4 linked regions of the Lonchura striata genome follow. The protein of the gene in region 2 interacts with the protein of the main gene of each other region in a pairwise test. Links are inferred from orthologs where the notes say so. Each region holds a gene or a part of one and is shown on either strand. Other genes may lie near its edges.

Evidence for each region.
Region 1: the proteins of CDC42 (region 2) and CDC42EP1 interact in binary tests that used the Homo sapiens proteins (3 or more experiments, as listed by UniProt). The link is inferred for Lonchura striata from reciprocal best matches to the Homo sapiens genes CDC42 and CDC42EP1.
Region 3: the proteins of CDC42 (region 2) and ARHGDIA interact in binary tests that used the Homo sapiens proteins (3 or more experiments, as listed by UniProt). The link is inferred for Lonchura striata from reciprocal best matches to the Homo sapiens genes CDC42 and ARHGDIA.
Region 4: the proteins of CDC42 (region 2) and CDC42SE1 interact in binary tests that used the Homo sapiens proteins (3 or more experiments, as listed by UniProt). The link is inferred for Lonchura striata from reciprocal best matches to the Homo sapiens genes CDC42 and CDC42SE1.

Annotation. Positions count from the first base shown.
Region 1 is NC_134607.1:23,378,368-23,386,425, reverse strand, and holds the start of CDC42EP1 (cdc42 effector protein 1), read right to left. Parts: upstream 3,388-8,058; 5' UTR 3,268-3,387; intron 1-3,267. UniProt on the Homo sapiens protein: Probably involved in the organization of the actin cytoskeleton. Induced membrane extensions in fibroblasts.
Region 2 is NC_134626.1:8,463,649-8,470,856, reverse strand, and holds the start of CDC42 (cell division control protein 42 homolog), read left to right. Parts: upstream 1-4,143; 5' UTR 4,144-4,236; intron 4,237-7,208. Other genes in the region: C24H1orf50 (uncharacterized protein C1orf50 homolog), read left to right, coding at 645-827. UniProt on the Homo sapiens protein: Plasma membrane-associated small GTPase which cycles between an active GTP-bound and an inactive GDP-bound state. In active state binds to a variety of effector proteins to regulate cellular responses. Involved in epithelial cell polarization processes.
Region 3 is NC_134621.1:11,932,151-11,939,510, forward strand, and holds the start of ARHGDIA (rho GDP-dissociation inhibitor 1), read right to left. Parts: upstream 3,114-7,360; 5' UTR 3,010-3,113; intron 1-3,009. Other genes in the region: ALYREF (THO complex subunit 4), read right to left, coding at 3,654-3,668, 4,435-4,612, 4,731-4,794, 4,963-5,110, 6,974-7,105, 7,265-7,360. UniProt on the Homo sapiens protein: Controls Rho proteins homeostasis. Regulates the GDP/GTP exchange reaction of the Rho proteins by inhibiting the dissociation of GDP from them, and the subsequent binding of GTP to them.
Region 4 is NC_134635.1:2,917,298-2,924,608, forward strand, and holds the start of CDC42SE1 (CDC42 small effector protein 1), read right to left. Parts: upstream 3,241-7,311; 5' UTR 2,936-3,240; intron 307-2,935; 5' UTR 214-306; coding exon 160-213; intron 81-159; coding exon 1-80. UniProt on the Homo sapiens protein: Probably involved in the organization of the actin cytoskeleton by acting downstream of CDC42, inducing actin filament assembly. Alters CDC42-induced cell shape changes.

The sequences.
Region 1 (8,058 bases), on a different chromosome or scaffold from region 2:
TGTGGGAGGGCTGAAGTCTCTGCCGCACCTCCTGGTGCTCAGTCCTTCATCCTATCTCACTTCCACTTGCAAACTCAATGCCTGAAGGAGGCTGATACAGGACTCCCCTCCAGTAAAGAAAAATCCCTTTACTCCGTTTCCCCAGTGCCTGGGAGAAGCCAAACGAAGGTGATGAAGGCATCCCAACTTGTGATAGGATCCACTCCACATAAACACCCATGGGTTTATATTCCCTGCTATTTCAGTTTGCTGCCTTTCCACCTGCCCTCCTTCCCTGGGAAATTTCCAGGGATGGACTTCCAGGAGCACAGCAGTGCTGGAAACTTTCTGGAGGGAGGGCAGGCAGGGGGCTCTGTGGGAAGGGGGTGCCTTGCTCAGTGCACAAGAAGCAGATATCCTGTTGCTGCCCAGAGTCTCTGGCTCATATTTCCTCATTAACTGAAAGTGCTGCTCGTTTGCAGGTGACTTCCAGATGTTCCCATTCTTCTCTTGGGGCCATGAGGGCACATACCACATGGGTATGGGGATTACTGCAAGCAGTGGGATGGGGGACAGAACCCTGCCACAATGGGGATGGGGGTGCAGAGAGCTCCCTTGCCCCACCAGGCATGGCCTCATCCAGCTCCCTCTCACCCTGGTTCTGTCAGGTCCCTTCTCACTGCTCCCATCCCATGGCCCTCGGTGCTGCCTCCAGTCCATGTCTCGCTGCCCTGGGGATGAGCTGAAGGCAAAGCCGGTTTTAGGGTGACCAAGCCAGAGTGGTGGCAGGAGGGGACACCCTGGGGCAAGGGATAGGTGCAAGCACCCAGCGTCTTGCCAAGAGCATCCCTGGCCTGATGCCAGCTCTGGCTTTGTAGGCACTGGATCCCCTCATGCCCTATAATTTCTCCACTGGGGTGATTTCTCCTCTGGCTGAACCCCCAGATATGCTTGGCCAGGCTCAACCCATTTTTGGTGCAAGTCCCCCACACCATGCCTGTTGCCTTTGAGATAAGCAGGGAAAGGGACCAGAGTGGTCTGGTTCCCAGAATCTTTGTGTTGCACTGGGGAAGGAAAGTGGGGAGATTGTGGTGAGCACCATCAGGCAGGCAGAAGCATTGGATTAGATGCACTCATGCTAGAAGTGGGGTGGATAACCCTGTAAACACCCACTTCTAACTTTCCCCACCAACTCCTCCCCTCCCCTGGAGCAGTGGGAGGACGAAGGAATGGGACTGACCACGTCTTGCTTGTGGGATTTGCAAAGGGGGGAGTGTGTGCTTTTCCCCTGGGAGCAGGGCTGGGAACTCAAAGCCTCGGGGTTTGCCAAAGCCCAGGAGGAGGTACGGATGAGTTCCCAGGCTTGTTGGCGGGCTGCCTCCCTCCCTCTGCCCATCTCCTCCTATCCCAAATATTTTCATCTTTCCTCCTCCCCCCACACTCCCCAGCTTCCTCCTGCTATTCCTGTCTGTTGGCCAGGGATGTGGGGTGCTGTAGGGCTGCTGTGGATGTTGTGGGGTCTTGTTGGGTGTGAGGATGGAGGGACAGACCCCAGGATGGCCCCTGATTTATACTTTCCCTCTGAGTTTCACATGGGCACAGAGGAGAGGGAAGGGGGGTTCGGGACGTAGCTGGGAGGGGGAGTGAGGATGTTGCATAAACCAGAAGTAATCCAGGAACAGCTGCCTGTGGCCTGGAAATACTTCTGTGATTCCACGTACTAGGAAAGGAGATGTAAATATAAAGATATATATTTATGTATGTAGACTACATCTCCCCAGAACAACCCCACCCTTGATTCTCCAGTTCTTTTTCATAGACCTTGTAAAAGTCAGTGCAGGAGGGACTGGGGGGAGGGCTTAGATATAAATTTGGTGCTTGGAGAAGCAGCTCTCTGTGTACAGAGGGATCTGTGAGTCTCTTTGCCCTTCCTCAAATATGTTCACTTGGCAGGACAAGGAAAGGGAGCATATCTACAGAAGTTTAAAGCCCATGCAGGCTGGAGGGAGCTGGGATGGAGGTTCCTGGGGTGGGGAGAGAAAGAGGAAATGGTGAGGGTAGAAGGGATGCAGAGGGGAAGGAGGGGATGGGGTGAGTGGGAAACTCTGGGCCTTTGGGAGGAAAGAGCCTTTTGGAGATGAATTGCATGAGGAGGTGCAGAAAGGTGTTTTGGGGAAAGGAGGAGCTGGGGAAGGGAGAATGTCCTCAGGGCTGGTGTGGCATGGAAGAGGGGACCATCAAGGAATGGGAGATGCATCCATAGAGCAGAGGGGGAGTGGCATGCAGGGGTGAGGAATGGTAGAGTGTACAGAGAGAGGATATGGGATATAGGGAATGGGGATTAAGAGATAAGTCGTCCATGTTGGGAGTGGGAGACTGTGCTTGGAGAACCTGTTCTGGTCAAAGGGAAGAGGTGAAACCAGGGGAGTGGTTGGACAGAAGGCCTGGACAACTCTTTAATCCTAATGATTTTGCCTGTCCATCCAGCCCATGTATTTTTGGCCCACGGAAGGAAGGGGGTGGGGATGCAGGAGCAGCTAAAAATAGGGGTTGTCCCTGCCCATTCCCCCAAGGCGGGCATCCGTCTGCCTGCCTGTGGGGCTGCTGCAGGATCTGGAGGAGGGGAGCAGATCCAGCCTCCTCCCCATGGCGTCTGGCTCTGCTTTTGTTTGTCTCACAGCCCTACAGGGACAGGAAGAGGCTGCAGGGCTGGGGAACAATGGCTCATTCTCCGGGAGTCTGTGCCTGTGGAGGAGCGATAGGGGACACGGGATGGTGGCCAGAAGGCACAACCTCCTAGTGCCACTGCTGCAGGAGTTCAGCCCCCAGGAGATGATGGGTTCCACTGGTGGGATGCAGGGGGACCTTCCCCAGCCCACCCCTCTTGCCCACGTTCCTGTACCCGGGTGCAGAGGGGATGAGGGGATGACTCACAGCGAGTGCACATTATAGAGGAGACCAGGGTGGCAATGCTGCCAACCTGAAGAGCGGTGGGAACATGTTTCCAACCAGCACTGGGGAATGCACTGTCAGCCTCTCTTGAGCCTCTGAAACCTGGAGTGTGGCTGGAGCTTGCACCCCCAAGTGGGAATGTCCCCAGGTGAGGCTGGGAAGGTATTTATCTGGGAGCTGTACTGTGCCTCTGTCCCAGCCATCACTGTGCTCCCTGAGGCACTGCCAGTATTGGTGGAAGATCCCTTCATGCTCTGTGCTCCCTGCTGTCTGGGAGACTGCCAAGGGGCATGGATATGTGTGCATGGTGGGGGGTGATAAATCCTTTTATCCTACCTCTTTCTTCTCCAGACCCTCCTTTTGAGGCAGTGTCTCTCCCGGATGTTAGATCTAACAGCATGGTGCTGGAAACTCTGCAGGGAGAGTCTCTCCCCACACTTCTTCTCCAGACTTGCTAGGGATATGAGGAGGTGATGTTAGCACCTGAGGTAGGGGAGAGGTTAGGACACATATTGCAAAGATTGAGCAAGAAGAGGACAGAAGAACCTCCCTGTTTCCAGCCCCTTTTTTTTCAAGGTCTTGGATAGCTGGGGCTGAATGCTTGCCAGGGCTCCTCTTGTTTACTCAGCCGGGGAGCTGACACATCCAAGGTCTCTGCTGCCTCCACTTTCCCACATGCTGCTGGCCGGCACATTCCAGGGCAGAGTGGAGATCAGTGCAGAGGCATACCAGAGGTTTCCATCCGGGATGCCATCCCTCCTCCCTGCTCTCCCCAGGCATCCGGCACCTCTTGCCAGGTCCTGAAGAGCAGGCATCACATGTGCTCAGCATCCTGGGCCTTTAGAAGCCAGGGCTTGCACAGAGCCCAAGTGTGGATTGGGACCCCAGAAGATTGGGATATGCCTCTTAAACTGAATGCCTTCAGCAGGGCTCTGTCCTTCTTCCTGGTTCCCTCTGCAGATCTCAGTCCTGTTCCCTGTCATGACCCACGGGAGATGTGTGGAGGAGTCAGGGATGCCTGTCTCAGCTTAGTCCTCCCTAGAGGAAGCTGGGGGAAAGGGGTAATACTCTCCTAGGCAACAGTCCAGCTTCTTAATTTTAGGACAGGCACCTATTCCTGCAGCTGGGCTTAGTTTGCTGAGGGTTAACAGCACTGGGCTTTGCAGCTGCACCCTTCTGCAGGCACAGGCTCTGCTCCCTCCTGGGCAGCAGCCCAGACCTGATGTGGCTGCCTTTGGTTTTGGGACAGAAGGACACAAAGCTTTTAAAAATAAACGCCAGGAGATAAAGAAGGGTTTGGAGAGCTGGCTGCAGGGCGGGGGCGGGAGCATGGCTCTTGCCCTGTCATTTAGGCTGGACGCCTGTGTCCCAGCGATGCTCCCACCTCCACCGGGGCTGCTGGCATCTTTGCCTCCTCCGACCTCAGGCTGCTGCAGGCAAAGGACCGCCGTGACCTTTCCTTTTCCCCGCAGGCTGGCCCATAGAGGCCCCTTTACGCCCAGCCCCAGCGTCTGGAAGAAGGGGCCTCGTCTCCCTCCTGGGCTGCCGCAGGAAATGCGGAGCCTGGAGGTCAGGGGCCAGCCGGCAGCTCCTCCCGAGGGGGGCAAGCAGCGCAGCGCTGGGCTTGCATCATGCCGGCGCCCGCCGCAGAGCAGGGGAGGGAGGCAAGCCCTGCAAGGGGGAGGGAGAGGGCCAGGCTCTTCCTGTTTATGTGAGTACCAGACCCCCAAGAAAGGGAAAGGACTTGGAAAGCTCATTGCTCTTGGGCGGGCTCCAGCAAGCGACTGTCTGTGACTCTTAGCCCAGGGATTGCATTTGTGTGGCAGGGCGTGACTTCTTTGCAGGGGAAATGGGCATCCAGCTCCAGAGAGGGCTAGGATTGCATTCTGGGGCCTTGTGAAGCTCTGTTCTAAGGGAGAGTCTGTCGTTAGCTTCCTGGGAAGTGAGAGACAGCTCTTGCTACATGCCAGGCTTTGATTCCTCCCATGGCTGTCTCTGACTGATGCTGAACTCCGTGGGATGCTCTAAAGGGCAAAGACCCACTCAGGCCACAACGAGGAGGTAGCTGGGTATTTTGGCTTTGGGACAGAGGAATGGAGAGCACTGGGAACACCAGGCATGGAGGAGGGTTTAGGGGAGGGTGCCTGTTCAGCCATGATGGCTCCAGAACAGATCCCATACGGCCACCAGAAGGGCTGGAGACCTCCCTTGTTATCTAGGGTCACATCCTGCAGGGCATCTGGTGTGGCTGTGGTGGTATGTGGAGGAGGAAACAAGGTCCAAGATGCTTTTTTCTTAGCCTCTGGCACCATACTGCTCTGGCTTAGGTAACATCTGCACTGAATTTGTCATATCTCAGCTTTGGTTTGTAGTCCTCAGGTCATGCTGAGCGTGGGTGGAGGGGTGCTTTGTGCCACCTCTGGTGGATGCCCTGGAGGACACACCATTAAGCAGCATTAACAGGAGCAGATGGGAGTTACAGCCCCTCAAGTAAGCCGAGGCCTGGCTCAGTGCAGCAACTGTAGGATACAAATAGCTGAATGCAGTGTAGGTCACAGAATCACTGAATAATAAAAGTGTTTGGGTTGGAAAAGACCTTAAAGTTCATCCAGTTCCAACCCCCTTGCCAAGGGCAGGAATAACTCCCACTAGACCAGGTCGCCCAGAGCCCCATCCAACCTGGCCTTGCACACTTCCAAGGATGAAGCATCCACTCTTTCTCTGGCCAGCCTGTTCTGGTGCCTCCCCACCCTCACAGTTGCGAATTTCTTTCTGTACCTAATCTATACTTGCTCTCTGTCATTTTAAAGCCATTCCATGAAAGGTCTTGGGAAGGTCACACAGTCAGAAGAAAGGAGCCCTGGCAGGTCTGTGGGGCAGGAACAGGCACAGCCCTTGACTCTCCATATCCTTCCCTTTGCAAGGGCTCCAGTTTAAGTCCAGGCCAACCCAAAGCATTTTGGCTTTGCCCAGCCACCTCCTTCCCCAAGAGGTTGGCTGGTAGGGTGGTGACACCCTATGGCTGTGGAGCAGTGTTACAAGTGATGGTAGCACTTGGCTGTTCTCTGCCCTCTCTACGGAGACTCTGCCCTCTTACCATGTACTCAGCTCTTTTCTCTCATCATGTCCTGGACAGGTTTGCTCCCCAGCCAAAAGGAAAAGGTCCTGATGTAGTTCTGACCTGTCCCTTTCCCTGATATGGCACATATTTAGTATGAGTGTTGTGGGGTGCTATCACCCCTCCTGCCTCTCCTCCATCAGCATCTGGCCAGTCTCAGCCTGACAGTGACTCAGGGGCTCTGGCAGCTGAACATCCTGGGGCATGTCTATGCACCAGCTCAGGAGAGGAGCCATACAGGACTTGGATCATCTCAGAGAAGAGGAAGGGAAGATGGAAGTAGTGTTTTCTATCTATGCCTCCTCATTTAGTCCTGTTGAAGCACTCTGAGTATTTCTGAATGGGGTGAACAGAGTTCCCAGCTAAGCAGTTGATGTCTTGGTGACAATTTGTTCTTCTGAATTCAAACTTCTTACAGACAGTTTGCTTGTCTCTGTGATGACATCTGAGCTGGTTCTTCTCACTGTCTCAGTGTCTTTGCCTTCATCTGCCCTGTGAAGACAAGCCAGAGTTTGCCTCTTGGTCCTTTTTTGCTCCCATCCTAAGCTAATGCTCCTGGGAGATGGTGGAAACACCCTTGGTCTGGGCAGCTGGCCTTGTGGAGGGCACCAGTGATGATCCTGCAGTGCAGTGGAGTGTTCTTGGAGAGGATGATGTGCACTGTCTGGGGAAACCTGTCCATCCCACAAGGCTGGAGCTCTGCTGGGGGTGGAGTAGGAGTGTTTTGTTTGCTAGGTGGGTGTCCACAAAGGTGATGGAGGGGATGGGAGGCCAGGATGGAAAAGGCTTCTCAGTGACTGTTTGGGGAGGTCTAGAGGAGGACATAGGGGAGATAGAGAGGAGAACTGGTACACGTGGGAGTGGAGAGGAATGGCTGGCTGTTACAAAGCTGTCTAGACACTGATTTCTATTGTGCAGTCTCATCTTCCCTCTCTGACTTCTAACCCAGACTGATGACCCTGCCTCATTTAACCCATTTGCCTTTCTCTGGCTGCAGGTCAGCTACTTGTTTTATCCATCCAGCCTGGATCTGGGGCAGACTTCATTCACTATGACAGACCTATATCCCAGAAAGCAGAAGTGGGACTCAGGGAAGTACACACTGCCCATTTCTACTCCTTTACTGCTACCAAGGCTGGGATTGGTGAGAATACCTGAGTGACACTGAAACCAGCAGGACTGAGACATGCCCAGGGTCTCAGGAGCACTCGTGGGGCCCACAGCCAAGTAAGAGTTTTAATTCAGTGGGCTTGCAGGATGCTAACTAGAGACATTGTCATTCCCAAGCTATTTTTTCCCAGGATAATGCTGAGGCCCTATTGTGATTTAATGCTTTGAATGTTGGTTTACATGCAAGTCTGTCCCAAAGTTACATCCTAAGAGGTGGAAAACACTACTTCATCCTTGAGTTGGACATCCCAGTTTCAAAGGGGTGCAGCACCCAGCAGCTGGGTGAGGTTCATGTGGTCACATTGACCTCTGGTGGCTGCAGCCTTGGGGTGCAAGGAGGCACTAATGCAAACGGGCTGGGTTTGGTGAGCTGCTGCTTGCTGCAGCTGAAATGCCGTTGGGTTTGTTCCTTCTCTGGGCTCCATTCCCCACCACCTCTCCTCTTAGAGAGTAATTTGTTTTCCTCTCGAGGCAGGTAACCACTCTTTGTGAGCACACTCTCAGTTCATGTGGTTCTTGTCCCTGAGAAAAAAATTCTGCTTGCACACAGCCCAGTAAACAACAAAGGCGGATCCTTTATTGGAGAGTTGAATTCACTCCCAGTTTTTAGACAGAGTGGGTCATATTTGGGGATGGCAGACTGCTCCCCTGTATTCACTGTAACCTCTGTACTGTCACTCTTCAGACCCTTCTTATGCAGCCGAGGGCAGACTTTAATTGTCTTCTTGCAAAGGGTCACCAACCAGACTGGATTCACAATGAGCAGTGAGATGGACTCTTGATCGGCTTATATTCTGGAGAGAGAGGGGGAAAAAGCTGAGTCTAATCCCACTGGGATA
Region 2 (7,208 bases):
GGTGGTTACAGGCCATGAAGAAGCAGAGAGAGGAAAAAAGTAATGTTTTTGGTGCTTGGGAACATATGGAGCTCAGACAAAAGCACCAGCTTGATGGGGACATTTGTTTGTCCCTACTCAGGTTTGGTGCTTGCCCTTGCTCTTGGTTAGTCTGCTGGGGCCAGAGCTATTTTATGGTGTTCTCTGGCTTTTGATGGAGAATGGCAAGAAGCCCTCTGGGGCGTGGACCTGGATTTTGTCTTTTGGTACTGCGGTTCTTTGCCTGAAAGTAAAGAACTGACAGTGGGCTCTGAACCTTCCCTTGCTGGTGTGGCTGCCTGGCAGGAGGGTCTCTTCAGGTACTTCAGCCCAGGCAGCTGAAGAGATGATCTTGGAAATCTCCTCCTTCCAGACTACCTGTTTTCTTACATGCAAGGTGGAAGTTTCAGGGCAGGTCAGGGAGATCTTGTGTCCACATGCCTTCCTCTGTCAGCAGTGCTAGAGCTCGACCTGATCTTGGACTTGGGTATCTGACCCTGTATTTAGGTTAGGAAATGGTATGGTCATGTAGCTGGGACTGCTTTGAAGGTAGTAGGGCTGAGAGACAGCACAGCCAAGCTCCAAGGAAACCTGAACACTGATGGAATCTCTCTTTTCTCCACCAGGAATGGGGTACTACTCCCCATGAATTTCTTGGTGCCTATAAGCTCCAGCATGACATGTCCTGGACTCCGTTTGAGAACATAGAGAGACGAGATGCTGAAATAACTGTCCTGGAGAAGCTGCTGAGCCAGCCGGCAGCATTGCCCCTGTGCATGGAGCTCAACTTCCAGGGTGTGACCAAGTGACCACACAGGACCCCCTGAGCAGAGTCCCTGAGTGAGGGGACAGAGTACCTGTACGCTGCCAAAGGCAGGGTGGAAATAGACCAAGAAACAAAAATGCTGATTGCTTTTGTGCTTTAAGAAGTTTAATTCTGCATTCAGTCATACTGGACTTTCTAGTAATTGAATAATTTACTTCATTGACCTATGGCAAGCTGTAGTAAGAGGCAGATGATACCAGGAGGTGTGACTTCCAAGAGTGCTTGGAGCAAAAAGCAGAAATGCTTGGGGCAGATGTGCTAATGTTGTAAAATAATATCTCCTGTCTGCCTGGCTCTGGTGTACCTCGCTGTGAATGTATCAGGTAATGATCTCAGGGCTGGATTTTCCCCCTTATTAAAATGTACATGTTTAGAGAGCTCTGTGGTCTGGAAAGAGTGGTCAAAAGCTTATGCAAAGGGTCTGCTGTGATGAGTCTTCTGGTCTCTGTCCTAGCTGGTCTGAATCCCTGAGCTGGGAACATGAAGCTTTTCTCTGGAAAGAGCATCCCCAAAAGTGCCATGCAGGCTTCAGGTGTTCTTCAGATGATGTGTTTCACATCCTCATGCATTCCCCCTTGGATTTGAGTGCATGAGCTGCTAGGTAGAGGCAGGATACTGGATGACTTTATGCCAGAGCAGTGGGGAGAGTAAAATAAACCATGATCTCACAGGTACCACCAAGACAGGCCCTGTGTTCTTCCTGCGTGGCAAAAATACCTTTAGCTTTGCCAGGAAGACTTAGTGGCATGTGGAGCTAGTAGGATACCCCCAGCGTAATTTTTCCATCTAGAAAAACTAGGGAGAAGTAAAGATCAGAGCTGCTGAGGAGATATCCTCCCTCTGCCAAGCCACACAGGGCTTCTTCAGGAACTTGCCTGCTTTTCTGTGAGGAGCCAAAGTTGGAATTTATTGACAGAGAGGATGTCCAGGTTGGATCCTGGTATGTAACATTAGATCTGGTTGGATTCTCCCATGACTTGCTCACTTTTCTAACATGACAAGATGATCTTGTATGCTACTCCAGGCATTGCATGTACACAATCACCTTGCCACCTCCATGGGCAACATGGGAGAGTTGGGGACCACTTGTAGGAGCTGAATTCTGACCTTGGGATCTGGGCCAGCTATGGATGGATTTCATGCTTCTTGGTGGAGCCTGATTGTGAGCGCATCTACAAAAACAAGATCCTTGGGGACCAGCACTGTCACTGTGTTTTGCCATTGCTGGAATTTATTCCCCTTTTGCAGGACACAGCCTTACCTCAAGTCTCTAGCATTCCTCTGTCCTCATCCCCATGCACTGGGAGTTTGCCTTGGGAGATGCTCAAGGCTGCTGGCGGTGACAGTTCCTCATGGGAAGAGCTGTTTCCTACTGGTGTTACAGAGGATTGGAAGGTTTGGAGCAGCTCCCTAGCCCAGGATTTTTTGTCCCAGATTTTCTTCTCCTAGCTCTGTCCGGTGCAGTAGCTCACCTACATCCCCGCATGGCTGAGCCTCTGTTTGGCAGAAACCTGTTCCTTGGATTCAATATGAGGCTTTTTTTTCCATATCTTTCCTCACTTGGAGCACAAGGACATATTAACAGGAATTTGTTATTAGTAGTAGTAGTATTAGACCAGGCTATAATTAATTCCGTAACAAGTTACAGGTGCTGAATTTGACAGGGTTTTTCTCTGCTTGTTTCACTGCCTTGAGTCTGATTTTACTGCATGGTATTATATCTTAACTTGGAAGGGATAAAGTTAATTACTGCATGGACTTTGTGTGGTTCACGTGTGTTGATTTATGCTCCTCTGGGAAGTGAGGATTCTTGCCCTGGTTTTATCTGTTTCCATCATTAATATCTGTACCATGGCATGCACAAGAGGCTTGAGGAGTGGTGGTTGTGGACCTCTGTAGCTTATGGTGGGATGTCATGTGTGTCTAGCAGACACCCCTGGCCCTCCATAGCCCACAAGTCACTAGTATTCTGCAGTTCTTCTAGGCACTGTCAAGTCTTTCTCTTGTGAAAAGACAAAGGAGGCCTCAAGAGACGGGACATGGAGGTAATGAGCTCATAGTCATCCTCATCCTTGGCATCCTCATTCCTTTGCACTGTGGGAAGTGGGGAATGAGGCTGGTGCAGGGAGCAGTTGATGGAAAGGGGGAACCATTCCCTCAATATTGCTTATGCACTGTTGAAGTGTAATTAAAGTCAAAGAACTGTGAGGCATCATCAGAAATACTGGAAGGTGCTCTAGAGCCAAAGCAAAACATAATCTGGAACACAGACAAGGATGAAGCTGGTTGAGGTGGAGCCTCATGTGATGCTTGCATCAAGAATGAGTTTCTGGAGGAATGATGAGATGGTGCCTTGTGGGAGACTCCAGGGTCTCTCCAGGTTCTTGTTCTCATCCACTCGGCTCAGCCTCTACCCAGCTGGAACATTTGTGCTTGACAGGGCAGGGATTTCATCGAAAATCATCTGGAAGAGACAGTGAGACACTGATATCCACTCATGATTTCATCTTGAAAATTCTTTTGAAAATGTTCCTCTTCCTTTGCTCTTTTGTGAGTGCTCCGGGCAGCAGTGAGCATATTTGGAAGGCAGTGGCTCTTTCCAGAATCCCCAGGGATGTGGAATATTTGCAGAAGGCACAGATATGCTTCTGACACCATTACATTGGGCAGAGTGGATTGTGTCCTGTCTTTGGCCATGCAGATGGACCAGGGCTCATTTAAGAAGTCCAATGCAAAGATGGTTTGAGGGTTTGACCTATTCCATGTGCTCTCCAGAGACAGTGTTTGGTGACTTGAAGCTGCTGGCATAGGTACTTGCAGCTTTTTCCAACTTTTAATATTTGAATTGCTCTGTAGTTTACTGTTTCAGGCCAGATTTTTGCTTTGCTTCTCAAAGTAGTTGTGCCTGGAGATTTTCTTTCCGGCCTCTTGTTCCTGAATGATGGGGGTGGTTAGGGGGATTTAACTTGCCATAAGTACCCTCTGCTCTGGGGTGTCATCTCCCAGCCATGAGGAGTGCCCCAACAGGATGAACTGTGGATCTTTGGCCCTTCTTATGTCGGCTTCAGGTCCAGGGAGAAAAGACAAAAAACCAAAAAAAACCACGAAAAAAACAAGAAAACAAAAAAAAACAAAAAGCAAACCACACCAAACCAAACCTAGAGGGAGCCTGGGCGCTGTGCCGGCGAACCTCACATCCGGCAGGCCGTGCCCGCGCGCGCCCCCTGACGCTGCGCGCAGCGCGCTGCGAGCCGCGGCGCATGGCCGGCAGGGGGCGTCCTAGCTGGCACGCCCCTCACCAGCGCGCTGCGCGGTGACGTCAATCGACTGCCCCTGTGCCTGCGCCGAGGAGACCCCGCACTGAGCTGCCAACGCCCGGCGGAGCGTCCGAGGTGAGAGTGGGGGGGCGGGGGAGGGGGGCGGAGACGGGACTGGGACCCCCGGCCGAGCTCCGGGACCTCCGGCCGAGCTCCGGGACCTCCGGCCGGTTCTGCTCTCCGCGCGCACCCACCAATAGAGCCCTGGCCTTCACCTCGGCCGGGGCGCCCGCTGTGCGTGCGGGGCCTCCCCGGCAGCCGCCTGCCGGGGGGAAGGGCGGCCTCCTCCCGGCGGGTCCCGGTGGCTGCTGGCGGACGCTTGCCTTTGTGGGCCTGGTCTGTTGAGGTGGTCGGCATGGCCGCCGCTTCTCCTGCCCACCCTTCCCCCGCTTCCGGGCGGCCGTCGGACTGGACCCTCGGAACGGCGCAGGAAGCGTTCTCGCAGCCATGGCGGGGCCCGCCCGCACTCCCTTGCCCCTGCCCGTCCCAGCCCCGCCCTGCCCGTCCCGGCCTCAGCCGCGGCCCTCCGCACTCGGTGCAGTCCGGCTGCGCTCGGGGCTGTGGGAGAAGCCTCGAGGGGCTGCGGGCACAGCAGCCCTGAACCGCAGCGGGGTGTGGGCATGGCGAGGAGTTGAGCTCTAGCTATGTGCCCTGCACAGACAGCGCTCAGTCGAGAAGTCGCAGACTCTTCTGGGTATCTGCCTCACGAGCTGCAGTGCTGTGGGTTATCCAAAGCTGTCCCACAGCTTTCGTTACATCGTGATGCCTCTGGCTGTAGCTGGGCCAGGAGCTAGCACTGCTTCAAAGGTTGGTGTTGACATATGTTTTTCATTCTCCTTGGAAATCTCATAAAAATGTACATACTGCAGAATCATAACTCCTGTCTCTGTTTTAAAGGTCTGGTTTAGTGATCTAGATTTCAGTTCCGTATCTGTAAGTAGATAGAACTTGCAGCTGGTGACAGCAGTAGGAGACAGTTGCAGAGCCAGGTAGCTGTGAAGACCTAGCATTGGAAACCTATGCTTAACAAAGAATGGTCGGGATTCCTGTTGTCCTTTCTGTGTGGATGCTGTGGCCAGGGCAGCCAGAGATCCTGTCTTGACAGCAGCATGAGGAAGACAAGCCCTGGCAAAGAGGCCGTGTTAGATGGCAACTGAGTGATCAGACATGGTAACTGGATGATCAGAACTGGCTGCTTGGTCTGGCCATCTATGATTGTCTTTGTGCTTCTCTCCCAGGAAAGGAGGTGTGGGCTGTTCAAAATATTGAGTTGCAGCGCCCAAAAGCTTTATTTTTTTTTCCGGAAGGGGCATTTAAAAACTGCATCAAGCTCATTGTATTGCTGATTGGGATAACTCAGTAAAGCATTACAGCTTCTGTTTTTCTGTAAGCAAATTATATTCAGCTGGCTGAATGTGAGGAAGTTGTATGTGAAGAAGCTGTTCTAAATTTCCCTTCTGTTGTAAACTTCTGCTTTGTACTCTTGTTAGTGTAAGGTTCTGAGGAAGATAATATAGGCAACTATATTTGAGTCAGGTCTTAGGCATGTATGGTTTGAATAAGTATATTGCCGACTGTAAAAATGGTTTGGTGTTTAAACTGTTCTCATTTATGCTTCAGTAACAACAACAACAAAAAAACTAAGTCTTGGCAAGGAATAAAAAATTACTGTGGTGCAAGATAAAACATGTTTTCACTTTGGTAACATATCCGAGGCAGAAATTTTAATCACTAAATTTGCATACTTTGAACTTGGTTATTCATGACCTGCAACTGATGTTCTGAATCATTAAGTGCTCTGCTTTAGGGTTGTTTGCCTAAAACTGATGACTGGGAAGTTCATGATGTTTTTACTGTTTAAATAGAAAAGCTCTGGAAGCTCTAGAGTGTGAAGTACCTAAAACTGAAACTGTCATTCTGCTAAAAGGCAACGGTAAACATAAATGGAGCCCCTGTGAAGCTCCCAGGGATTTCTCTTATAAGTGTTCTGTGGGCTTTCCTTGCTGTAAACCCTGTGTGAGGCTGATGGAAAGTGCAGCATGAAGCTAGCCACTAATCTTGATGTAAAGCTTCTTTTTCATTAAAATGTAGATGTAGTACTAAAGTAATTTTCCAAGTTTTATGAGCATAGATAGCTGGACCTTACAATTAAAACCTTTTCAGCAGCTCTCTTGTTACCATGGGGGTTGGTTGGTGTACCTGGGTTCCAGCTCTGCTGTTAGCTCCGGAAGACTCGGACAATAAATGAACATGCTGCACTACAGCTGAGGTTTGTGTAAGATGTTGCAGGTGAGATGTGTATAATCTGCTTGATGCCCATGTGAGTGCTCACAGCTTTTAAAAGTTGTCTGTGGGCTTGTGTTTTTGATCCTGCTCATTCCTCTGCCTGCCCTTTGTGGTCAGGAGAGCTGAGCTCTCCTGCTGTCATTTGGCTCCATCATGAATTTATGATACGAGTTTCTGGAGCAAGAGACAGTTAGGAGGAATTGTAGAGGGTTTAGTTATCATTGCTCTTTAGGAAAAGATTCTTTGCTGAGGAAAGAATGACATATTTCTCATTTTAGAAGATGAAAGTTCTGTCAAATCAAATGGAAGTGGAATTGGTTTCTGGTGCTTCAGGTAGCAAGAAGCTCTCTAACCACTTAGTCTTCTTCCTTGGTTCCTTTCACTCCCTTACATTAAATGTAGGTGAAAGCACCCTATATTCAATAGTTAATATATGACAAATAAAACAATTTATTGACCAGATAAGCTTTTATGCAAAGTTTTAAGAGAAATTTAAAGTACCTTTACATTTCTGCAGCCTGTCACCATTTAATTATCTGGCTTCTCCCAGACCCTACACTTTATTACGGTTTGACACGATACAAGCTAAGTGTATATCCCTCAGGAAGGACTGCCATTAGGAGTGGTAGGTAAAAAAAATCCCTTTCCCCAGAGTTTTTGCAAGGGCTGAAGCTTGGCACAAAAGTTCTCCCTCTCTGAGGTTGTTTGGCCACCCCAACATAGTGGTCAGCTGCCCCTTGCAGCCCATGGTGTGTATGTTA
Region 3 (7,360 bases), on a different chromosome or scaffold from region 2:
TCAAACCTAGTCCCTTGCTTCTCCCAGACAGCTGCCAGGCTTGAGGACTACCAGAAGTACTGAGCAAACGCTCACTTACACACCTTACACTGTTCCCTCTCCTCCCTGTATCCTGCCCGGTCCCCTCCTCCTGTCCTTTGGCTCACCTCTGGGCTAGATGGTACCACCCATGGCCCGCAATTTGTTCTAACTCTCACATCTTGCTCTGAGAATATCTGCAGCTTTCAGGAATGAAAGTTGCAGAATTTCAGCTTTACAGAATCTAAGTCCCAAACTTGTGGTGACTCCCAAATTCTGTGACTGAGCCTTCTGTGAGAGCACACTAACCACACACATGGCAGAGGATCCAGTAGCATCCACACACCTATCTGCAACAGTGGTAGGTACATTTCTGTGCATGAGTATCCACGGGCACCCTCCACATTCCAATGTTCAGACCAAGCAGAGACAAAATCTCTCACAGCCAGATCAGTGACATCAGGAGCCATGGGGGCAGCCTCTGCTCCAGCACCTGAAGCTGTTTGAGCCAGTGCTCTGTGAACAACAGCACCAGTCCCAGTACAGCTCCCATGGCTGGGAGACAGCTGCGCTGACTGGGAGCAGCCTTGGCATTCACAGCCCTGACTGCCAGCAGCTGGTCACCTCCAAGATCTAGAATCCTCTCCTGGGCAGTTTGGAAATGAACTATTTTGGTGTCAGCATAGAGCTGCCACTCCTGAACAGCTGACCCCCTGGTGTAACACAATGGTGACAGTTTTGTCCCATGCACCACTAGCCCCATCTCCACCAGACCCACGAGGAGCCCCTCCCACAAACTGGTATTTAGCAACAATCATGACACAGAGGGCACAGAAGAAAGCCCAAACCAACCAAAAACCCAAATCCCCAGCTCTTTGGTCACATTCCTGTGTTCCAGCCTTACTTCTGTGATCCAGAGCTAAAGAATCACGCATACCCATCACATAGATTAATCATGACCCACCCCAACCTTCTTAGGATTTCTGAGGAGCCCACCAGGACCGAAAACACTGCTGGGGACCAGAACCAGCATGATTCCAGTCATCACTGCAGGCCAGGCTGGGCTTGGCTCTGGGGGAACAGCCCTCACCTTTCCTATCAGCTTACCCACAGGTCCTGGGGATCCCACTGCTCTGTGAAACAGCACAGCCCCCAGGAACTGCCATGGCTGCAGGAGGGGACCCCAGCCTGTGCTGGAAGCAGGGTACAGAAGGGCTCCTGGATTTTCAGACACATACCCTAGCTCCAAGCAGGGATTCAGGATCACAGAAGCCTGTAGAAGGCAGCAGGAGGCTGAATCCCTACCTGGGAATTTGCACGCTACCTTCACTGCTCCCTCAACCCAGCAAATTCTTCCGGATTTTCAGCATGTTTTGTGCAGGGCAGAGCAGCTGCAGTAGCTAACGCTGGAGCCCCACCTCCTGCCAGGAAGAAACACTAGCGGGATATCCCTGCTGTGTCCAAGCAGACAGTGGGAATCACTGACTCCGTACCCTGGAATCCCGATCCCAGGGCAGCAGCGAGGCCAGCATTAGTCAGAGTATCATCAGATGAGCTAATCAGCTCCGTCAGGCGCAGCTGTGGAGGCAGCAGGGCCGGTTCCAGCAGTCCCCACCCTTCCTTCTTCCCGCGCAGGGAAAGCCTGCGCAGCCACCCGGAGAACGCAGCTGGAATGTGACCCAGCAGTAAGTGTTTCTACAGGGCCCTGTCCCAAGCTGCTCTGCCAGGATGGGAAGCCAGAACAGCCCAAACAGCCTGGCTGCTCCACACAGAGAGCTCAGATGGTCCCAGGGCAGCACAGGGGAGTGGGGGACACCAGTACCACAGGAAGGACAGGAGCCTAGCTGGCACTTCCTGAGGCCAGGCGCTATCAGGGCATATCAGGTAACACTGCTGCACCAATTGCTTTGTAAGAGCATCCGAGGGAATTCTCATCCCGCTTGATCCCCTCGGCTGTCTCACAGACCCAGGCAAGAAGGACTTGGGGAACAGGAGGACACGCTGCTGCCCAGAGAGGACTCAGCAGTCTGAGGATGGAGAATTTTTTTTTCTTTTTTTTTCTGACATATCCCTGACCTGTTGTTTACCTACATGGCTGAACTGTGCAGAGCCAGGCTGAGGGCTCACAAACAACTCCAGAAGGATAAAGGCTGCTGGCAGTACTGCACCAGGGCTGCAAACCAGATCTGTGGGTACCTGGAGCCAGGACTGTGACCTATCCATGTGTGTCAGCAGCCGAACCCACAGCAGTTAAACTGTCCCCACTCTGCAGTCATGGAACAAGATCCTCTACACTGGAAAAATGCTTGGACAAGCGGAGCAACAGAGCAGACCGGAAACCGTCAAGTGATCAAGTGTGGTTGGGAGCTTTTGTCACCACAAACAAACGACGGACGACGGTCAGGGCCCTCAGACCAGCTCTCGGGAAAACGCCGCTGCTCCCGGTGGAGTGATGCTGGCGGGGGAGCCGCGGCTCCGGTGCCAACCCCCGCGCCGGGGCTCGAAGCGCACCCTGCCCGCGGCGGTCGGGATGGAAGGGCCCTGACTTGACACGGAGCAGTCCGACTCTTGTACAGTGTCTCACAGTTCCTCATTCCGTGCCCGGCGGCCATTTATGAACAGCCCGTACGCGCCAGAGGCACAGCCGACCTGGGCACGTGTGGGGCCGGGCGATCCCCGCACCGCACCTCGGACCGAGCACCGGGCACGGCCCGCCGGGAGCCGCCCCAGCCCCTCGGGGGAACACGGGCCGCCCGCGCCCCGCGCTCCGCCCTCGCCCCACGCGCTCCGCTCCGGGACGGCCCCGCCGGGGGCGGTGGCTCCCCCGGCCTTCGGAAGGTCGCGCAAGGGCACCCGGGGCCCCGCGCCCGCCCCTCGGCCGCGCCCGGCCCTTCCCGCAGCCCGCGGCCCGCAGCCAGCGCGGCGCGGCCGGCCCGGCCCTTCCCGCCCAACCGTACCCCCACCCACCCGCTCCCGCCGCTCCCGCCGTACCGGGCTCGCTCGCTCCCCGCTGCGCTGCCAACGCCGCGGATCCGCCCAGGCCCCGCGCGCCCCCGCACTTCCGGGACACGCCCGGCACTTCCCGTTACTCGCCGCCGCGCCGCCGCCGCGCTTCCGGCCGCGGACCGCGCGCTGATTGGCCCGGAAGGGCGCGCGCGGGCGGGGCGGGACGGACCGGATGGGCGGGACCGAGGAGGAGCGGGGCAGGACCGGCGGGGCGGGGCAGAGCGGGATCGGAAGCAGGAACGAGACCAGCGGGGCAGGACGGGACCGGGACCGGGACCAGTACACGGCAGAGTGGCGCGGAGCATCACGGTACGTGCGGGAGGGCGATGGGGCGCGGGGCCCAGCGCGGCAAGGCACCAGCCACAGCTCTAGACATGGTTCTATTTTATTACGGCAAAGGTGAAAAAGCCACCTTGGCCCAACAGGCAACCAGAAAAATTTATCCCAAAAATAACTCGGTACAAAACAGGTCTGCTGAGAATTAAAAAAAACCTTTACAGGAGTTAAAACCTATCCCAGAACGTAAAAGTAAAACAAATCCCATCCTTGGTAGTAGTAGCCACAGCCGCAGCCCCTGCCAGGAGTGTGGAGCACGATTGGAGTCCTTCCCTGCGCCCACCGCTGCTGCTTTAGCTGGTGTCCATCTGCAAGAGAGGGGAGGAATGTCACCGCAGCCCTGGTACCTCGTAGCACCCCCCTGCACCCAAGCCCACTCACTTCTTTGCAGGCAGCCTGGCTCTGGTGAACCCACAAGCTCTGGGGGACAGGGACAGGTGGGTCCAAGCCACAGCACACCATGAGCACAACAGCAAATTGCACCCCAACACTGCTCCAAAGCTTTTTCTAGAATCCTGCTCATCCCACTTCTTCCACACTCTTGCCCTGACATATCCTGAGTCTTGAACCACCAGCTCTGCTGCCACAGTGTCCATGTGGCCTCAGCTTTGTTGGGATCCTGGCCCAGCTACAGCATATGCTGAGCAAGTTCCAGGTACAGCTGCAACCTGCCCATGGCTCCCCAGGCTGGGGCTCATTTCTGCCACAAACATTACACCCTTTCCCCAGCAGCACACCACACAGTTCTTTCACATGAGATTTTCCTTCGTCTTCCCATTCCTGCAACCTATCAGCTGTGCGAGTTTTGTTCTGCAGCTGCTGCTCATAGTGGCTGTTCCAGCTATGGAGCCTGGCAAGAACAGAGCCTGTTTCTCAGCCATCAGGAACAGGTGACAAAGTGCTCTGGAAAGGGAAGCTCAGACCCAAGCCAAGGCACAGTTCAGCTTTAGAGAGAGACTGCTTCAGTCCAAGGACCTGGAAAATGCTTTCCCTTTTCTGCCAGCTCCAGACTGCCAGTGCTTCCCAGGATGAGATGCTGTAGGGAGCCCATTACCATGCCCAAGCAGCACTTACCCTGGCATTGTAAGCATCCAGCTGTGCATCTAGTTCTTCTGCAGAGAGCTGCTGTTTGGAAGTTCTTCCAGCTCCTCTGCCTCTCCCTCTGTTCCCGCCACGAGTCCCTCGCCTGTTGCCTCCACCTCCAAATCCCCCCGAGACCCCACGGTTTCTGGTCATGCCACCTCTGTTTACACTGTAAGTTTTAAAACAACTGTTTTAGTGCCTTCAGCGAAGCCAAACAGGACCCACGTTCCCCAGCAGGGAGGGTTCCTGCACATTCCCCTGCACTGCTTGGGCAGGGGCTCCCCCACCTCTGTGCTGGTCTCCGCTGCGTGTCGATCTGTGACGTCACCAGCTGGATGTTCATGGGGCGCCCTGGAGGAGGGAGAGCGTCCGTGAGCCCACGGGGCACGCGCGGGGCAGGAGCCGCACGGACGGGCGGGAGGGACGAGGGCGTGGGAGAAACGGGCACGAGGGGAGGGACACGGATGTGCTCTGCTCCAGCCACAGAAAAAGTCGTGGGGCTGGGCCACGCAGCCTCACCGTCCAAGGGGACCCCATTGTACTGCTTCATGGCCTTCAGCGCATCAGCCTTCCTCTCAAAATGCACATCTGCCGTTCCTAGGCTGCGGCCAGATCTGTCATAGTGCACAGCTGCCTTCTTCAAGGTCCCAAACTCCGCAAAGAGCTCCTGAGAATGACAGGGAAAGGAGCAGCCCATCCATCAATGCTGCAAGCACTGCAGCGCCCCACACAGACACGCTCAGCACCAGAGCTTGTCCCACCACCTCAGACAGCCTGGAAAAACACCCAGTGGCACAGGGGAGCACAGCCCATCAGCAAGATTTCAGGGAGCTGTCACAAGTGGCAAAACCAGGCAGGACTCCACGCTCACGTCCTGTAGGAGGCACATTACAGCCAGTGAAGCAGATTCAAGGGATGCTGACCTGTTTTTTTTTCCCAGGGGAACTGGGGGTCCTTGTTGAAGGTGAGTCAAAGTGGCAACAACTGAAAATACCGCAGACCCCAGACACCTTTCTCACAGAGGAGAATGACCATGTGATTGCAGGGATCCACGAGACTATGACACTTTTACTGTGCTAGACTTATGCCCATTAGAAACATATCCTAAAAATGGAGACCAACAAAGTCCTCTGCTGAGGTGTGTCCTTTGCTGCCACAAAAGTTGGAAATAAAGAGGCAGCAACAGAGCCACCAATTTTGTTTCTCAGGCACTATATCTGGGAAGCCAACAAGGTTACTGCACTGCCTGTGTCAACCTGCTCCCAAGTCACAACAGGGCTCTCAGCAGGGCTGCTGGAGAACTACAAAGGACACCTGGCAGATGCTTTCTGGACAGAATGTGGCAGGCAAGGCTGTCTCAGCTCTGCCCAGAGCCCAGGATCTGCTGCTTCTGCCTCAGAGGACACAAAGAGCAATGCTGCACAGCTCATTTGTGATCAGAGTACCTTCGGCCTCTCTTGGCACATAAAGAGGCATCAGCACAGGAACAAAACCAATCCCACATCTGAGGCAATGCTAAATTATGGGACATGGGGCCAAAGCCGTTGATTCAGCCCCCAGTGGGGGCTTGTGCAGCAGCAGGAAGGTGAGTCCTGGCTGCACACAAGGCACAGGGGCTGAGTTTTACACACTGCCACCTCACTGCAACAAACAAAAACTTATTTAAACTCAGTCTGAACTTATACGAGGAAAAGAGGTGGAGTGCAGCACACTACCCAGTGAGCAGGTGACTTGACAGAGCTGCTTTCCAGTTCTCCACACGCAGCCAGATGGGTGTGTGGAGAGGCTGAATGAATGAACTGATGAGGAAAGTCTAACACCACTGTTTTGGTTTTCCCTGGTGAGGGCACAAGAGCCAGAGGCCAGGGTGATGGCAACACTCTGTGGTGCAGGAGCCTCCACCAGGGATACATGGCCCTCAATTCCTGCACAGCTCACAGCCCACTCATGACCCTGTGACACCCCTCAGCCTCCAGCCCTGAGGCAGATGCCCCAAGCACCCGATTGCAGGCACTGTGGGCTCTGACCAGCCCAAACGGGGCATGGACACGACAGGTGGGGGACAGGACACCAAAGCACCAGCACAGGAGAGCTGTTCCTATGACAAATAACTACCTGGTTACACTGATAGGTGCATCCTTGGGAACCCCTGACACCCACCAGAGTGTGGTCTGACAAAGCAGCAGGCCCCACAGCACCATTACAGACAGCTACAGCTGTGCAGAGCAGGAGCTCAGAGTTCACAGTGCATCCTCCAACCACAGCGTGATCCAGCACAGTCACAGCATCGCTCCCTGTACACCGGGAAGTCACTTACAAAACACCTATAAACCGAATTTTCCAGCCCCCTGGAGACCACCACGATCGCCGCAAAGTAGGCATACCTAGTACCAACCCCATCAGCAGGGATTCACCCGGGAATCCTCGGCCCCGAGCACAAGCCGGAGCAGGGCCGGCGGGGTTCCCGCGGGTACCCGACCTGGGCCAGCGAATGAGGCCCCGCTCGCCGCGGCGCCTCCCCGAGCCGCACCTGGATGTCCGCATCCGAAACGCCGAAGTCCAGGTTGGAGACGAGCAGTTTTCCGCCGGTCTCCACGCCGGCCCCCGCCCCGAAGCCGCTGTCGAACAGGTCGTGCTGCCACTTCTCGGGGAGCTGCTTCGGCTGCAATGAGACCGGGACCTCGCTGACCGGCGCCAAGGCGCCGCAGCCGCGCCGGGAGTGGACAAAGGGCCGCCCGCGTCCGCGCCCCCGCCCCGCGCGGACCCTCCACCCCAGCCCGCCGCACCGCCGCGGCCTAAGCTCCGCCTGCCCGATCCGTACCCGGCTGTAGGGCGCGGGCCGGTTCCTGCCGCCGCCCCGGGCCATCACCGGCCGGTTCCGCACGGGGCCGCCGCCCGCGCGCCCGCCGCCAACGCC
Region 4 (7,311 bases), on a different chromosome or scaffold from region 2:
CCGGAGCCGATGTGCGTCAGGTGCACGAAGTTCATGGGCTCCCCGATCATGGAGCGGTCGATCCGCCTCCTCCTTTTCTTCTGCGAGGGGAAGAAGAGGCCATCAGCCCCCCGCTGCCCCCAGGGCCCTGCCCGAAATGGCAGCACGGGAGGTACTCACGGGCTGGGGCTTCTCCACCACGCAGCAGCCCAGCTTGTGCCAGAAGTCGCTCATGCTCGCGGTGCTGGCAGCCAGCGTCCCCCCGAGCTGCCGGGACCCCTGCGCAGGGTCACTCCATGGGGACACAGCGTGGAGAGGAGCAGCTGGCTGTGAGTGGGAAGGGAGAGCGATGTTTCCAGGCCTGACCTCCCCGAATGAATCCTCAAGCGACTTCCCATCAACCAACAAAAAGCAGAGAGCCCCCAGCAGACCCCTGGGGTCACACACGGACCATCCAAGGGGACACCTGTCATTGCAAGGAGGTCCCCAGGGAGTCCCAGAGGTCGGAGACGTACCAGGGACCCCTGGGCATCGCACAGACACCCCCAGAGCTGTCCCCATGGCCAGGGCTGGATCGGGGCCAGGCCTTGTCCCCCGCTCCAGGGCAGGACACAGCTGAAGGATGCTGCGGCAGGATGGGGGGGATGGAGGCAGCCATGGCAAATCCCAACTCCCTGAGCCAGGCAGCTATAAATATCCTTTCCGAAAAGGGGCCGGAGCCTGAGCTCTTCCGCTCCAGCTTTTGAAGCGCAGCCGGGCGAGAAATAAACAGGGACTGGTGGGATTTTAGCCCAAACTCCCACGGTACTGCCTGGATGGGCGAGGAGATGTGGAAAAGGGGGGTTCACCCCCAAAATGGGGGTTAACTCATGCCAAGGAGAGATGACTCCCTTGATGCAAAAGCCCCCGGTGGCACTCAGGGAACTCACCCGCCCACGGGGGGCCGTGGCCGGAGCTCAGCCCGGTATCAGCCACGGGAGAGCCCCCAGGCACGGCCGGTGGGTGCCGGAGCCGCGGCAAACGGGACGAGCTCCTTCCTCTGCCCCGGCGCCGGTGCCGCCGGACGGACCAAAGTCCGGCCGCACTTCCTGCTGCTGCCAGGGAGGAGCGGGGCCACGGGGCAGCTCCCCAAAACTGCTCCGAGCCCAGCCTGGGCACGGCCCCATCCACGATCTGGCCCCGTGGACCGCATGGAATCCCCCCGGTAACCGGGCATTCCCGTGCACCCATGGGGTGGGTGCTCCCTGTGCTGCTCCCATCACCACCAGCTTGGCACAAGAAGAGCACCCCTGTGTCCGTGTCCCCATGTCCGTGTCTGTGTCCCCGTGTCCGTGTCCCCGTGTCCGTGTCCGTGTCCCCGTGTCCATGTCCCCGTGTCCGTGTCTGTGTCCCCGTGTCCGTGTCCGTGCCCGTGTCCGTGTCCGTGTCCGTGTCCCCCTGTCCGTGTCCCCGTGTCCGTGTCCGTGTCTGTGTCCCCGTGTCCGTGTCTGTGTCCCTGTGTTCGTGTCCGTGTCCGTGTCCCCCTGTCCGTGTCCCCGTGTTCGTGTCCGTGTCCGTGTCCCCGTGTCCGTGTCTGTGTCCCTGTGTTCGTGTCCGTGTCCGTGTCCCCGTGTCTGTGTCCCCGTGTCTGTGCCCGTGTCCGTGTCCCCGTGCCCATGTCCGTGTCCGTGTCCGTGTCCGTGTCCCCGTGTCTGTGCCCGTGTCCGTGTCCGTGTCCGTGTCTGTGTCCGTGTCCGTGTCCGTGTCCCCCTGTCCGTGTCCCCGTGTCCATGTCCGTGTCTGTGTCCCTGTGTCCGTGTCCGTGTCCGTGTCCCCGTGTCCGTGTCCCCGTGTCTGTGCCCGTGTCCGTGTCCCCGTGCCCATGTCCGTGTCCGTGTCCGTGTCCGTGTCCCCGTGCCCGTGTCCGTGTCCGTGTCCGTGTCCGTGTCCCCAGCGAGCCCCTCCGCCAGCGCAGCACCGGGGCCGGGCAGGCTGCCACACGTCCCGGTCGGTGCACACCGGCTCCGTGCCCCCTGCCGAACGCAGCTCTCCCCCCTCCCCGGCTGCGGGGCAGATGAGGAGGGGGCTGCGTTTCCTTCCCAGCCCGACTTCCTGAATTTCCTTAGGAACCGCGGCCCCGGAGGGCGCCGGGATCCGGCAGGGCCTCGCCGGGGCTCCGTGGGGAGCCGCCGGTGAAAGCTCCGCGGCTCGCACGGCCACGACCCCTGCCCGCGCCCCCCGGCACCCGCCGGGGCCTGGCGTCCTCGAAAGGGCCCCGGCGGCTCTCGGCCCGATCCCCGCTCCGAGGGTCGCACGCCCCCCGCAGCCCCGGCGAGGAGCCGTGCCCGGGCTCAGCCCACCGGGGCCCGGGCAGGGCGGCTTCGGGCCCGGCCCTGCCGGCACAGGCAAAATGACTTCCCGGTTGGGAAAGCACCGCTCGGCTCTGCGTCACCGCCGGGCTCCGGCAGCGGGGTCCGCCCCGAGCCCCCCGCACTGGGGTCACCCACTGCGGGGTACCCGCTGGGGTCTCCGCAGCTCGGAGGGAAAGCCCCCGTGCGGGGACGGGGCTGGACGGGGTGAGAGTCCTGGGGTGCCCCGGCTGCGGGCCCGGGACCCCGGGATGGGGCGGCAAAGTGGGGCTTGCTTGCGAGCTTCGGTGCCGGCTGCGACCCCCGGGGCAGCGGCTGCTCCGCGGGGCTCCGCGCACTCCGGGGGTCCCAGCAGCGTTCGGGACCCCGCGGGTCCTGCCCGGGTTGGTGGGACCCGGCAGGCCTTGGGACCCCGGTGGTCCCGGTGGGGCTGCGGATCCCGGCAGGACTCCCCGGTTGCACCAGCGAGCTGCCGGGGGGGTGGTCCCGCCGCCCCGCTCCCGTGCCGGTGCCGATCCCGGTGCCCTCTCCGCCTTCCTGCGGCGGTTCCGGGGGCCCTTCCGCGGGGTCGCACCCGCCGGTTCCCGTCCCGGCGGCGGCCCCATTACCTGTCCCGGCGCGGGAGCGGGTCCCGGTGCCGGTGTCCGGCTCGCAGCCCCACGCGTGGCTCGGAAGTCCCGGTCCCGCTGCCGGTGTCCTGCTCGCAGCGGCCCCAAGCGTGGCCCGGGCGTGCAGGTCCCGATCCCCGTGCGAGCCCCGCTCCCGGTGCCGGTGCCGGAGCCCCGCTCGCAGCCCAGGCGTGGCTCGGGGGTCCTGGTCCCGGTGCGGGTTCCGGTGCCGGTGCCCCGCTCGCAGCCCGAGGCGTGGCCGGGAGGTGCCGGTGCCGGTGGCCGCTCGCAGCCCCAGGCGTGGCCCGGTGCGGACGCGGCGCTGCTCCCGCCGCCCGGCGCGGCTCGGCCCGGCCCGGCCCCGGTACAGCGCCCTCCCCGGGCACCGCCAGCACTGCGGGGCTGCGGGAATGGGATCCCGGTGGGAGCGGGGGTCCCGGTGGGAGTGGGAGTTCCGGTAGGAATGGGGGTCCCGGTAGCAGTGGGGATCCCGGTAGGAGTGGGGGTCCCGGTAGGAATGGGGCTCCCGGTAGGAGTGGGGGTCCCGGTGAGAATGGGGGTCTTGGTAGGAATGGGGGTCCCGGTAGGAGTGGGGGTCCCGGTATGAGAGGGGGTCCCGGTGGGAATGGGGGTCTTGGTAGGAATGGGGATCCCGGTAGGAATGGGGGTCCCGGTATGAGAGGGGGTCCCGGTAGGAATGGGGCTCCCGGTAGGAGTGCGGGTCCCGGTGGGAATGGGGGTCTTGGTAGGAATGGGAGTCCCGGTAGGAATGGGGGTCTTGGTAGGAATGGGGGTCCCGGTAGGAGTGGGGGTCCCGGTGGGAATGGGGGCCGTGGGACCCCCCAGCGCCACCCTGCAGCTGGTGTTGAGTGGTTTCACCATTTCCAGCCCGGTGCCCTTCCGCTTGCACAACATCTGGTGGGCTGCTGCCACCGCCACAATCCTGCCACTGCCACCAGCACAGTCCTCCCAGTGCCACCGCCACAATCCTGCCACTGTCACCAGCACAGTCCTGCCACTGCCACCAGCACAGTCCTCCCAGTGCCACACCACAGCCTGTCACTGCCACCACCACAGTCCTGCCACTGCCACTGCCACAATCCTGCCACTGTCACCAGCACAGTCCTCCCAGTGCCACACCACAGCCTGTCACTGCCACCACCACAGTCCTCCCAGTGCCACCAGCACAGTCTTCCCAGTGCCACCACCACAGCCTGTCACTGCCACCACCACAGTCCTGCCACCACCACCGCCACAGTCCTGCCACTGCCACCGCCACAGTCCTGCCACTGCCACCAGCACAGTCCTCCCAGTGCCACCACCACAGCCTGTCACTGCCACCACCACAGTCCTGCCACTGCCACTGCCACAATCCTGCCACTGTCACCAGCACAGTCCTGCCACTGCCACCAGCACAGTCCTCCCAGTGCCACCACTACAGCCTGTCACTGCCACCACCACAGTCCTCCCAGTGCCACCAGCACAGTCTTCCCAGTGCCACCACCACAGTCCTGCCACTGCCACCAGCACAGTCCTGCCACTGCCACCGCCACAGTCCTGCCACTGTCACCAGCATAGTCCTCCCAGTGCCACCAGCACAGTCCTGCCACTGTCACCAGCACAGTCCTCCCAGTGCCACTGCCACCGCCACAGTCCTGCCACTGCCACCACCACAGCCTGCCACTGCCACCAGCACAGTCCTGCCACTGCCACCGCCACAATCCTGCCACTGTCACCAGCACAGTCCTCCCAGTGCCACTGCCACAATCCTGCCACTGTCACCAGCACAGTCCTCCCAGTGCCACCGCCACCGCCACAGTCCTGCCACTGCCACCACCACAGTCCTGCCACTGCCACCGCCACAGTCCTGCCACTGCCACCAGCATAGTCCTGCCACTGCCACCACCACAATCCTGCCACTGCCACCGCCACAATCCTGCCACTGCCACCGCCACAATCCTGCCACTGTCACCAGCACAGTCCTCCCAGTGCCACTGCCACCACCACAGTCCTGCCACTGCCACCGCCACAATCCTGCCACTGCCACCAGTACAGTCCTCCCAGTGCCACCAGTACAGTCCTCCCAGTGCCACCACCACAGTCCTGCCACTGCCACCGCCACAGTCCTGCCACTGCCACCAGCACAGTCCTCCCAGTGCCACCAGCATAGTCTTCCCAGTGCCACCACCACAGTCCTGCCACTGCCACCACACTGTGAGCCTCAGAGTGCCCCTTCCTGTGTCAGCCCCCAAATCCCAACCATCCCCACTGCTCCCACTCCAGAAATCCTGAACAAGGCAGCACTGTCCCCACTCAGTCGGGTTTCTGTCCCACGCCTGTCCCCAGCCATCGGGTGGCCCTGGCTGATAATACCCCAAGTGTTTGGGACCTCGTTTCAGCTGAAGAGCCTTTTTTTTTTTTTTTTTTTTGGTGTTTGTGCTGCCAGAGGACAGTGTCCCCCTTGCAGCCCTCCCAAAACCGCGGGGCTCAGAGCAGTGCCCTCACTGCTACGTCCCCTTGGGGGGTTCAGCCCCAGGTCCTTTCCCAGAGAGGGACATCACAGTCTTTGGGCTGTCACATGTGAGCAGGTGACAAGACCTCGAAGAGCAAGGAGATGGGTGACATCCAGCTTCTTATGAGGTTGCTCAGCCAAACTTCACCCCATGGCCTGGGGTACCCCCAAAAAGAGCTGCTCAACCCCTTGGAGGGATCAGCATCCTTCAAAGGGCTCCCAGGTGGAATTTTCCCTGTGCCAAGTGCTGCAGGGGCCCAGCTGAGACCAAGGGTCTATTTTGGAGCAGGAACATGGGATCCTCTTTGCCCATTACCGTGCTGGGAGGTAGAGGAGGAGGAGGAGGAGGAGGAAGAGGAGGCAGAAATAGTCTGGCTGAAAGCCGAGCACTGGCAGAACAGCTTGGCACCATCAGAAATGAGCTGTGCGCAGGGAACAGGGAGGAAAATAAAGAAAAAAAACCCCTAAAGCACCAAAAGAATGTTGATCTCAGGCAAAACCCAGGGAGAGGAGGGCAAGGGTTGCCCTCAGCATCTCAGGTGGATGGATGTGGCCTGTGCCCCCCAAAAAGGGTGTTTGGGGTCTCGGTGGTGCTGGGGCAGGGAGATTCCCTGGTCTGAGGGGTTGCATCGGGGTTTTCTTTGCTGCACCTCCAACACCCGGGGTCAGCTGTGGGGGAAAGTGGGTGTGAGGTGCCCCCACCCGCCCTGGGTGAAGCCCCCCCCTCAGCCCTGGCAGTGATTGATGCCAGTTTGGGTTGTCTCCCTCTATTTCCAGTTCCATGTCTGGCTGGGATATTTTTGCCGTGTGACCTTAGGACCAAATAGTCTCAGTCTCAGATTAAAAAAAAAAAAAAAAATTTTAAAAAAATATATATGTGTATAGTTTTGGGGGGTTTCTTTGAGCCAAATTTCCCTGTGTTTGACCCGCACAGTGCCCTCCCAAGGTTTGGGGATACCACAGCACCCCATATCTTCCCATGCAGGTAAAATAAATCTTTCCCAGCTCTTTGCAGACCGAAAATTATTCCCCCCAACACGGAGCTGAAGGCTTCAGCAGTTCAATACATCCTCGGCTTGGGGGTCCAGCGCGCAGGATCCCCCCCCACTCCCCGCCCCTGCCGTCCTCCCCCTCCCTGGCGCGGGTGGGAGCCGCTGACTCATCTGCCATCATCATCATCCTCCCCCCACGAGGAAGGGCACTCGGAGGGGCTGCATTGCAGACCCAGCCGAGCCGGCAGACAAAAGCGACGCTGCTCCGCCCGCGGCTCCCCGGCACAAAGAGCCCGGCCGGCGCCGAGCTCGCCGCTGCAGCACCGCGCCCTGCGCAGGTAAGGGATGCGAGCCGGCCGGGATGCTCGGCCGCAGGATGCTTTTTGTTCCGGGAGGGATTTGGGTGGAGGGGAACTCCTGGAATTTCTTTTTGATGGGGGGAAATGAGCCACAGCCAGCGGGGATTTAAGTGGAGAAAGGTGGTTTTGCTTCCATGGGATGAGCAGAGCACATTGAGACCGTGGGAAATGCTCTTTTTTAGGGGTGTCACGCGTAACAAGAGGGGTTTCCCCCCGACATTCATTCCCTTTTACTAGATATTTTATTATTTCACTTGTCACTAAACTCTCTTTTCCCCTCTTGTCACTAAACTCCAATTTTTCACCATTTGGAGCTTAAAAATCCATGTCCGCAACACCCATCACCATTAATAAATCTCTGCTGTCGTGCTGCAAAAACTCACAGACAGACCCCTAGAGATGGACCTCCCAGGGATAAATTCCCCGGGAAGAGATTATTTTAAAGTCCTGTGGCTCAGTTTACCCGGCGGGGGTGACACAGGAGCCTTTCACAGCCCCTGAGTGACATCCAGA